Macaca mulatta: one gene and its partner. The protein of the gene in region 1 binds, or shares a complex with, the protein of each later gene. Links are inferred from orthologs where the notes say so. Each region holds a gene or a part of one and is shown in the gene's direction. Other genes may lie near its edges.

Evidence for each region.
Region 2: THOC2 (region 1) and CHTOP share a complex: the UniProt entries of both Homo sapiens proteins name them as parts of the transcription/export (TREX) complex. The link is inferred for Macaca mulatta from reciprocal best matches to the Homo sapiens genes THOC2 and CHTOP.

Annotation. Positions count from the first base shown.
Region 1 is NC_133426.1:130,144,125-130,148,445, reverse strand, and holds the start of THOC2 (THO complex subunit 2), read left to right. Parts: upstream 1-1,308; 5' UTR 1,309-1,313; coding exon 1,314-1,384; intron 1,385-4,321. UniProt on the Homo sapiens protein: Component of the THO subcomplex of the TREX complex which is thought to couple mRNA transcription, processing and nuclear export, and which specifically associates with spliced mRNA and not with unspliced pre-mRNA.
Region 2 is NC_133406.1:113,398,676-113,402,994, reverse strand, and holds the start of CHTOP (chromatin target of PRMT1 protein), read left to right. Parts: upstream 1-1,334; 5' UTR 1,335-1,550; intron 1,551-3,791; 5' UTR 3,792-3,808; coding exon 3,809-3,873; intron 3,874-4,319. UniProt on the Homo sapiens protein: Plays an important role in the ligand-dependent activation of estrogen receptor target genes. May play a role in the silencing of fetal globin genes.

The DNA of each region.
Region 1 (4,321 bases):
GTGTCATGAAAAAAAAAAAAAAGTATTATTGGGGTGAGCAGGGTGGCTCACGCCTGTAATGCTAGCATTTTGGGAGGCTGAGGTGGGCAGATCACTTGAGGCCAGGAGTTCCAGACCAGCCTGGACAATGTGGTGAAAAACTGTTTCTAGAAAAATACAAAAAATTTAGCAGAGCCTGGAGGTGTGCATCTGTAGTCACGGCAACTCAAGAGGCTAAGGTGGGAGGGTAGCTTGACCCCAGGCAGGTAGAGGCTGCAGTGAGCCATGATTGTGCCATTGCACTCCAGCCTGGGCGATAGAGTGAGACCCTGTCTCAAAAAAGAAAAGAAAAGAAAAGAAAAGAAAAAAAGATCAAATTTGAAATATCTGTAGATTAAGGAATAATACAGTGTTTTTTTTTTTTTTTTTTTTTTTTTTAAGATGAAGTCTCACTTTATTGCCCAGGCTGGAGTGCAGTGGCTCCATCATGGCTCACTGCAGCCTCCGCCTCCCGAATTTAAGCGATTTTCCTGCCTCAGCCTCCCGAGTAGCTGGGATTACAGGAGCGTGCCACCACGCCCGGCTAATTTTTGTATTTTTAGTAGAGGCGGGGTTTCACCATGTTGGCCAGGCTGGTCTCAAATTCCTGACCTCAGGTGGTCCACCTGCCTCGGCCTCCCAAAGTGTTGGGATTACAGGCGTGAGCCACCGTGCGCGGCCCATTTTGTTTTTCATGGTACTTAGTCCCTAGTTTAGCCTAAGGTAACAATGATAGCAGGCCAACGCAGCGTGTCAGAACTCGTGGATCCATGTTTCCCACGGTTAGGTCGTATCCCTCGCATTAGCGTAATGCTTGGCACACAGACAATGGCTACCACCTTCCCGATTATTTCCTTTTATCTCAGCAGTCAGCAGGGCGTAATGTAATTTATCTGCTTATATTTATGTCTTTCCCAAAGACTGTATTATTTCTCTATCCCCAGTGTCTAGCACATATTAGGTGCTTGAAAAATGCGTGTTTGTATTAGTGGTTGGGGTAGATACTATGGAAGAAGATAAGGTCTACTTGTTGGCCCGTGGATGGCATTTTTCTGTTCTAATGGAAAGGCTGAGGACTTCGGACGGCGCAGCCCGCGGAGTAACTTCGCAAAGGAGCCCGCGAGTCTCCACGTCGTTGGCTGCCGAGCCTCGGGTTTCCGCTGGGTGGGGAGGAAAGTGGGGCGGGAAATCGAAAAACGAACTCTCAGCTCCCGGCATTCCTCGTGGGCGGTGCTCCCCTTTGACCCTTCGCTCGCGTGCTACACATCCGGGCCTCTGCTACTAGTGAGAGGAAGATGGCGGCCGCGGCTGTGGTGGTTCCTGCAGAGTGGATAAAGAACTGGGAGAAATCAGGGAGAGGCGAATTGTGAGTGTTCGGGCCGGAGGCAGGCGCACTGCCGGGCCGGGCCAGGGCGTCAGCTGCACTCTCACCTGTGGTGGGAGGTTGGGGGGGGAAGATGTACCCCCTCCCCCACCCGGGCGGCGGGCGTGGATGGTCGGCTAGGAGTTTCGAACTCGGGGAGAGGTGCTGTTAACCGCCGCGGACCTCTTTCCTTCCCTGGCCTCCCAGAAATCGCTACTGCCTGCGGTAGCTCGGCTTTCTTTAGCCTCTTAGTAGAACTCCTGTTCCGCCCCTGCAGGTCTCTGCGCTCCCTCTTGGTCTCTTTTTGTGTCCCCCTTTTCGCTTGATCTCACTGGGCTCCTTTATCTTTATGGGGCTGCGCTGGGGCGATTCGGACTTTCCATCTCTCTCTGTCCCATTTCTTCACTCTGCACCCGTTGGACTCCGCAGTTTGGAGCTTGGCGCCTCCTCTGCCTGAAGTCCGAGGAGGGCGAACCGTCCCGGATTCCCTCCCCTCCTCTTCGCCCGCTGCCGCGAAGCCCGGGGCGCCGCGAAGAACCCGGTTTGGCACCTCTCGTCCTCCCGGGGAGCGGTCTCTTGACTGTCCCGGCCTCGCGTAGCGCCGTGGGGAAGTGTGGCAGGGATTGCCGCTTTCCCTGAAGAACTACAGACATTTCTTTGCTCCGTCTGTTCACCTTAGAGCTATTTAGGGTTGGATTTAACTTTCGTCATTAAATGTTCCCTAAACCCCATTTTATCCTGGGACTGCAACTAATTCTGGCAACTCTCCAAGCTTCTCGAGTACCTAGGATAACGCGTTTCCTTTAGTCGTGAAACTTTTCCCCCGTAACGCCGAAAACAGTAATTTGCCATACCCCTAGTCTTCTCGCCCCCACATTAGAGCGCTCCCTCCTCCCCTCTCCCTGAAAAAAGTCGTTTAAGCAGCAAAGCAAACCTCAGATTTAAGAAAACATATTAATAACAGCTTCTCATTTCCTTCTCTGGATCGCTTTTAGATGCTAACGCTCAACCCTGGATCAAATTAACTCTTGTTAGCCATTTTTGTCGTCCTTGCCCACCCCTCTCCATTTCTAGTAGCCAGTTTACCGTGGCTCATGCTAACGATTCAGATCTTTGTAACTTCATTACTTGGAACGAAACACGAGGAACGCGTTGCCGGATCCCGCGCTTGTAATAGTGCCAGCCTATGTGGCTTCCTCCCCCGCACCCCCCGCACTGCTGTATGAAGTCTTAACAGTGCGAGCGCTAGAATTCCCTAAATAAGCGGCTGTCTTAGCCACTTAACTAGCCGAGTGACCTTGGGTAAGTTCCTTAACCACTTGGACTGTTTCCCCTTGAGTAAATTGGGAATAATAAGTACTCTACTCAAAGGATTGTTGTGAAGACTAAATAATGCCTGTAAAGCACTTGGCTTATAGTAAGTGCTCAAGTGATAGCTATTAAAAGTAATATTATTCCAACCTTTAGATATTTAAACTTCTCAGGACAGCTCATGCACTTAAAGTCTGTACCACTCTGGTTAGCAATTAATTGGTCTCTGACTCCTTCATGTGTTTTTACTCTTGCACTGTAATGAATTGAGAGGCCCTTGAAAGATAGGGACTATGTCTCATATTTCTTTCGGTTCCACGCACGCCCACCCCCCCCCCCCCCAGCATATGCTTAGAGTGCTTATTGGTTTATTAATTGTCAGAGAAGACTATTTGATAAACCTTCGTTTTTAACTGTAATGAACATTTTACAAATCCTCGTACATGCTAGTTAACAAATAGCTATCAAGTTTGTTAGCTAGTTGACAAATAGCCATCACGTTTGATAGCTAGTTGACAAATAGCCATCAAGTTTGGGGAAGGCAAGATGGGAAGTTACCCAGCCAGACCATCATCTTCATCCATATTAGGGTAATCCACCAAAACTCGTAAAGCAATTCACTGTTTTGTTTACTTTTAAAGCCAGCTCATTTATTTAGGGGCTGTTATCTTTGTAGATGGCTCAGCTTCCTCCTTTCAGCTACTGTTTTTTGACAGTTTTGCTTTTCTTTTTTCCCCTTGAGACGGAGTCTCGCTCTGTCGCCCAGGCTGGCGTGCAGTGGCGCGATCTCGGCTCACTAACCGCTGCCTCCCGCGTTCAAGCGATTCTCCTGTCTCAGCCTCCCTGTCTCACCCTCCCGAGTAGCTGGGACTACAGGCACGTGCTACCACGCCCGGCTAAGTTTTTGTATTTTTAGTAGAGACGGAGTTTCACCGTGTTAGCCAGGATGGTCTCCATCTCCTGATCTCGTGATCCGCCCGCCTCGGCCTCCCAACAGTTTTACTGTTATTGCTCCCACCTTAGAATGAGTGGTATTAGGGCTACAAGGTGAAATTCTGCTTGGCTTCTGACTGGTAATGGTTGGAGAAAAAGTGATGTAGGAGGTCGAAATACCTAGAAAAAATGGAATTTTAGGTTCACATTATGTGTATTTATATAATACATGCTACCTGTCATAGTTCTTATATTTGAAGAGCTGCTTCAAAACTGTTATTAGAAGCCGGGTGAGGTGGCTCACGCCTGTAATACCAGCACATTGGGAGGCCGAGGTGGGTGGATCACCTGAGGTCAGGAGTTCGAGACCAGCCTGACCAACATGGAGAAACCCCGTCTCAACTAAAAGTACAAAATTAGCCAGGCGTGGTGGCACATGCCTGTAATCCCAGCTACTCGGGAGGCTGAGGCAGGAGAATCGATTGAACCCGGGAGGCGGAAGTGGCGGTGAGTTGAGATCGCAGCTGTCGCACTCCAGCCTGGGCAACAAGGGGAGCGAAACTCTTTTTCAAAAACAAACAAAACAAAAATAACAACAAAAAAACTGTTATTAGAACTTACATGTATGTAGTTATTGCATGACTTGTGGAATGTGGATTGAATTATAGTAGATCCAAATCAGTATAGTCAGTTTTA
Region 2 (4,319 bases), on another chromosome or scaffold:
CGACAGCGCGAGACTCCGTCTCAAAAAAAAAAGAAAGAAAAAAAAAAAAAAAGAAAAATCCCTTATTGAGGCCGGGCATGGTGGCTCACGACTGTAGTCCCAGCACTTTGGGACACAGAGGTGGGCAGATCACTCGAGGTCAGGAGTTAGCGACCAGCCTGGTGAAATCCCATCTCTACTAAAAATACAAAAATTAGCAGGGCGTGGTGGCACGCGCCTGTAATTCCAGCTACTCAGGAGGCTGAGGCAGGAGAATCGCTTGAACCTGGGAGGCGGAGGTTGCAGTGAGCCGAGATGGTACCACTACACTCCAGCCTGGGTGATAGAGCGAGACTCCATCTGCAAAAAGAAAAAAAAGAAAGAAAGAAAGAAAGAAAAATCCCTTAATTGAGCAGGACACATAGCTCATGCCTATAATCCTAGGACTCGGGAGGCTGAGGTGAGAGGATCACCTGAGCCCAGGAGGTCAAGGCTGCAGTGATCCGTGATTGATTGCGCCACTGACTCCAGCTTGGACAACAGAGCCAGACCCCGTCTCAAAACAACAACAACAACAAATCAAAAAGCGAGAAAAGAGAAATCCCTATGTAGGTCTGCCACAAAATAAACACGGATGGCAGGTGTGGAGGGAGGACATGGAAGCGCAATCGAGGACGCAAAGGTGCACCCCCCGCAAGAAGGATTAAACAGTATTTAGGCCAAGTTGGGAAGGGGAGGAAGTGAAGAGGAAAACATGGACGGGCGGTGGTGTTGGCCAGCGCAGGATGGGAGAGGAATGTGCTCCCAATACTGGCCTCCTGGGCCTTGGCGGGAGCATTTACGGCACTTTACAACTCTCAGACTGGGCGACTGGCCATGAGGGGAAAACCAGTGCAAATTCCCCAGGCCCAGTTGTCCGGAAGAAGACGAGGCAAGTCCGCGTAAAGATTTTTAGACGATGCACCTTGCCTAAGGAACAGAGGGGCAAGGGAATTCGGAACCCAAATCCCCTCTAAGACCCTGATTACTAACTAGTAACCCAGGAGGTTGCAGCTTAACCACTACGGGAACTTGAAGTCCCGGCACGCCCCGATAGGGCCATTGTCACGCCCCCAGGGGGCGGGGCACTGCTTATACCGCTAAGGTAAAGTTTGCTGAAGTTCACCCTAAGGCTCCGCCTCTGATCCCTGCGCAGGCGTAGCTCAAATCTTTCACGCCCTCTAGTCGTGAGCGGATCTGACGCCTGACGTAATGGCGTAGACGCCATTTTAGCCGGTCCCACAAGCACTGCATGTGGCGGCCATTTTGTTTTGGACACCGAGCCGGAGCTGGCGGCCGCTGCAGACGAAAGGCAAGAAAGGGCAGGCCGGGTGAGCAGACGGATCGGCCGGCTAGACAGCCAACCAGCAACAACGAACTGAGCTCGCATACTACCGCTTACGCATCTGACCAACCGCCCATCTAGCTAACCCGAGCCCCTCCACCGTCAACTCAGGTTCGGCCGGTCCCCGGCCCGCCTGCCGGAGCCGTGGTGGCAGCCCCGGGAGGAGCACTGGCGTCTGTTTCCTTCGGTGAGTTTCTGTAGGGAGAAGGAGCGGGGTGGCGGGGTCTTGGGGAGCGGAAGGGGCTGGCGGACGCGGAAAGGGGGTGGTGGCATGTGGACACAGCTACGGTGTTGGAGCGTGGAGGCCCGGGGGAGGAGGCGGAGCCCCTGCGAAGGGGCGGGGGAGGGGCTGAACTGGAACCTGGTGGCGGGACTGATGGAGGTTGGGGTTTGATAGGGATTAAAAGGAAACTTGGGTTGAGCAAAAGTGGAAGTCTTGATAGGGCTTTGAGGATGGTAGGGAGATTAAGAAATACAAGACTTTGAGGAATGTTGGAAATTAATGGCGGCTTTAGGGTTAAGTTTTGTGGAGGGCTCTTTGCGAGCTCATTCCCCAGGTGAATTTAGAAAACCTTTCCTACGCACTCCCCGAGATCATTAGTTTATTGTTACAAAAGTCTCTACTTGATTCTGGAGTTGAAAGCCAATTTTTAAACTAGGCTTTTTTTTTTTTTTTTTTTTTTTTTTGAGACGGAGTGTCGCTCTTTTTGCCCAGGCTGGAGTGCAGTGGCACGATCTCAGCTCACCACAGCTTCCGCCTCCCGAGTTCAAGCGATTCTCCTGCCTCAGACTCCCGAGTAGCTGGGATTACAGCCATGCGCCACTACGCCCAGCTAATTTTGTATATTTAGTAAAGACGGGGTTTCTCCATGATGGTCAGGCTGGTCTCGAACTCCCAACCTCAGGTGATCCGCCCGTCTCGGCCTCCCAGAGTGCTGGGAAAACAGGCGTGAGCCACCGCGCCCGGCCCTGCCTATATTTTCACTCTAGATCAGTAGTTTTCAACTTTAACTGCACGCTAGAAGCACCTAGGTAGCTTTCCCTCCACCCCACAATTGTTCATTTCCAAACCTCGTTACTAGAGATTGTGGTTTAATTGATCTAGGCCCAGATACCTGTATTTTTTATTTTTTTAATTAATTTATATTTTTATGGAAACGGGGTCTTGCCATGTCGCCCAGGCTGGTCTTGAGCTCTAGGGCTCAAGCATTCCGCCCACCTTGGCCTCCCAAGGTGCTGAGATTACAGGCGTGAGCCACCGCGCCCTTTGAAAGCTCCTTGGATAAGTCATATGTAGTCAAGGTTGAAAATGACTGCTCTAGAGAAAAAGCCAAACTCGACCGGGCGCGGTGGCTCACGCCTGTAATCCCAGCACTTTGGGAGGCCCAGGTGGGTGGATCGGGTGAGGTCAGGAGCTCAAGACCACCCTAGCCTACGTGGAGAAACCCCGTCTCTACTAAAAATACAAAAACAATTCGCCTGGCGTGGTGGCACATGCCTGTAGTCCCAGCTACTCAGGAGGCTGAAGCAGGAGAATCGGTTGCACCAGGAGGCAGAGGTTGCAGTGAACCGAGATCGCACCACTGCACTCCAGCTTGGGCGAGAGAGTGAGATTCCGTCTCAAAAAAAAAAAAAAAAAAAAAAAAAGGCCAGACTCCATACTTTGATTGCTAAATTGGGTTCTGCCGTTTTTGAGAATTTCCTGGGTATTTTCTGGGCCTTGGAGTTTGTTTGGGGTTGGTTGGTTGTTTTAAAGAGATGGGGTCTCTCTCAGGCTGGAGTGCAGTGGCGTCATCACAGCTCTTTGCAGCCTCCAACCCCTGGGCTGTAGCACTTCTCCCACATCAGCTCCCCCTGAGTAGCTAGGACCACAGGTGCTGGCCACCATGCACTGCTATTTATTTATTTATTTATTTTCTTAGTAGAGACTCGGTCTCACTTTGTTACCCAAGCTGATCTCTAACTCCTGGCTTCAAACCATCCTGTGCCCTCACCCTCCCAAAGTGTTAGGATTACAGGTGGTGAACCACCACGCCCAGCCACCTTGAAGTTACAGTAATGTGAGGTAACTGCCATAGAAATTTAAGCACTTTTGCACTTTTGCTGGGCATGACACCTCATGTCTGTGATCCCAGCACTGGGAGGCCAAGGTGGGAACATCCTTTGAGGCCAGGAGATTACAGCTGCCGTGAGCCACTGCAGCCAAGATCATGCCACTGCATTCCAGCCTGAGTGACAGAGTAAGACCCTCTCTCAAAAAAAAAAAAAAAAAAGAAAAAGAAATTTAAGCACTTGAAATGTGCCCTCATGTGCTCTTAAGTCATCAGTGATAAGGCCTTTTTATTTATTGTTGACTTGGGCCTTGCCACTTATAGAAATGATGTGGTCACTATTGTGATTTGCTCATTTTACGTATTGTCCTTTGTAGATTCTCGGGATTTGAAGATGGCTGCACAGTCAGCGCCGAAAGTTGTGCTAAAAAGCACCACCAAGATGTCTCTAAATGAGCGGTGAGGCAGCCAACAGCAACTTCAGCTCCTTCCTAAGAAAACATTACTTAACTTGGCCCTGGGGTCCAGTGCACAAAGCCAGTTTTAAGCTAAATACCAACAGAAGGCTACAGACCTCTGTTCTTAGTTGCATCTCATGTGGTACACAAAACAAATTGGGCGGTTGTTTCAAAACCCCTTATCAGTAGACTTTTATGTTAAGCTGTCTGAAATATTTATTTGGTGGGATGTATTTTAAAAGACTCCTAACACCCTCCCTTTTCACATTTTTTTACATTGATACAGGGGTCGTGCAGCACGGTAGCATGGTACCCTGGCTACAGTAGGCTTGCTGCCCAGTCCAAGGCCAGCAGTGTTGTGTCTGGCCTGTAAGAGGCAGGTAGCAAGCCATGAATATGTCCAAAGGTCCTTGAATGTCGTTCTTGGGCCTTGTAAGAGGCACTTGC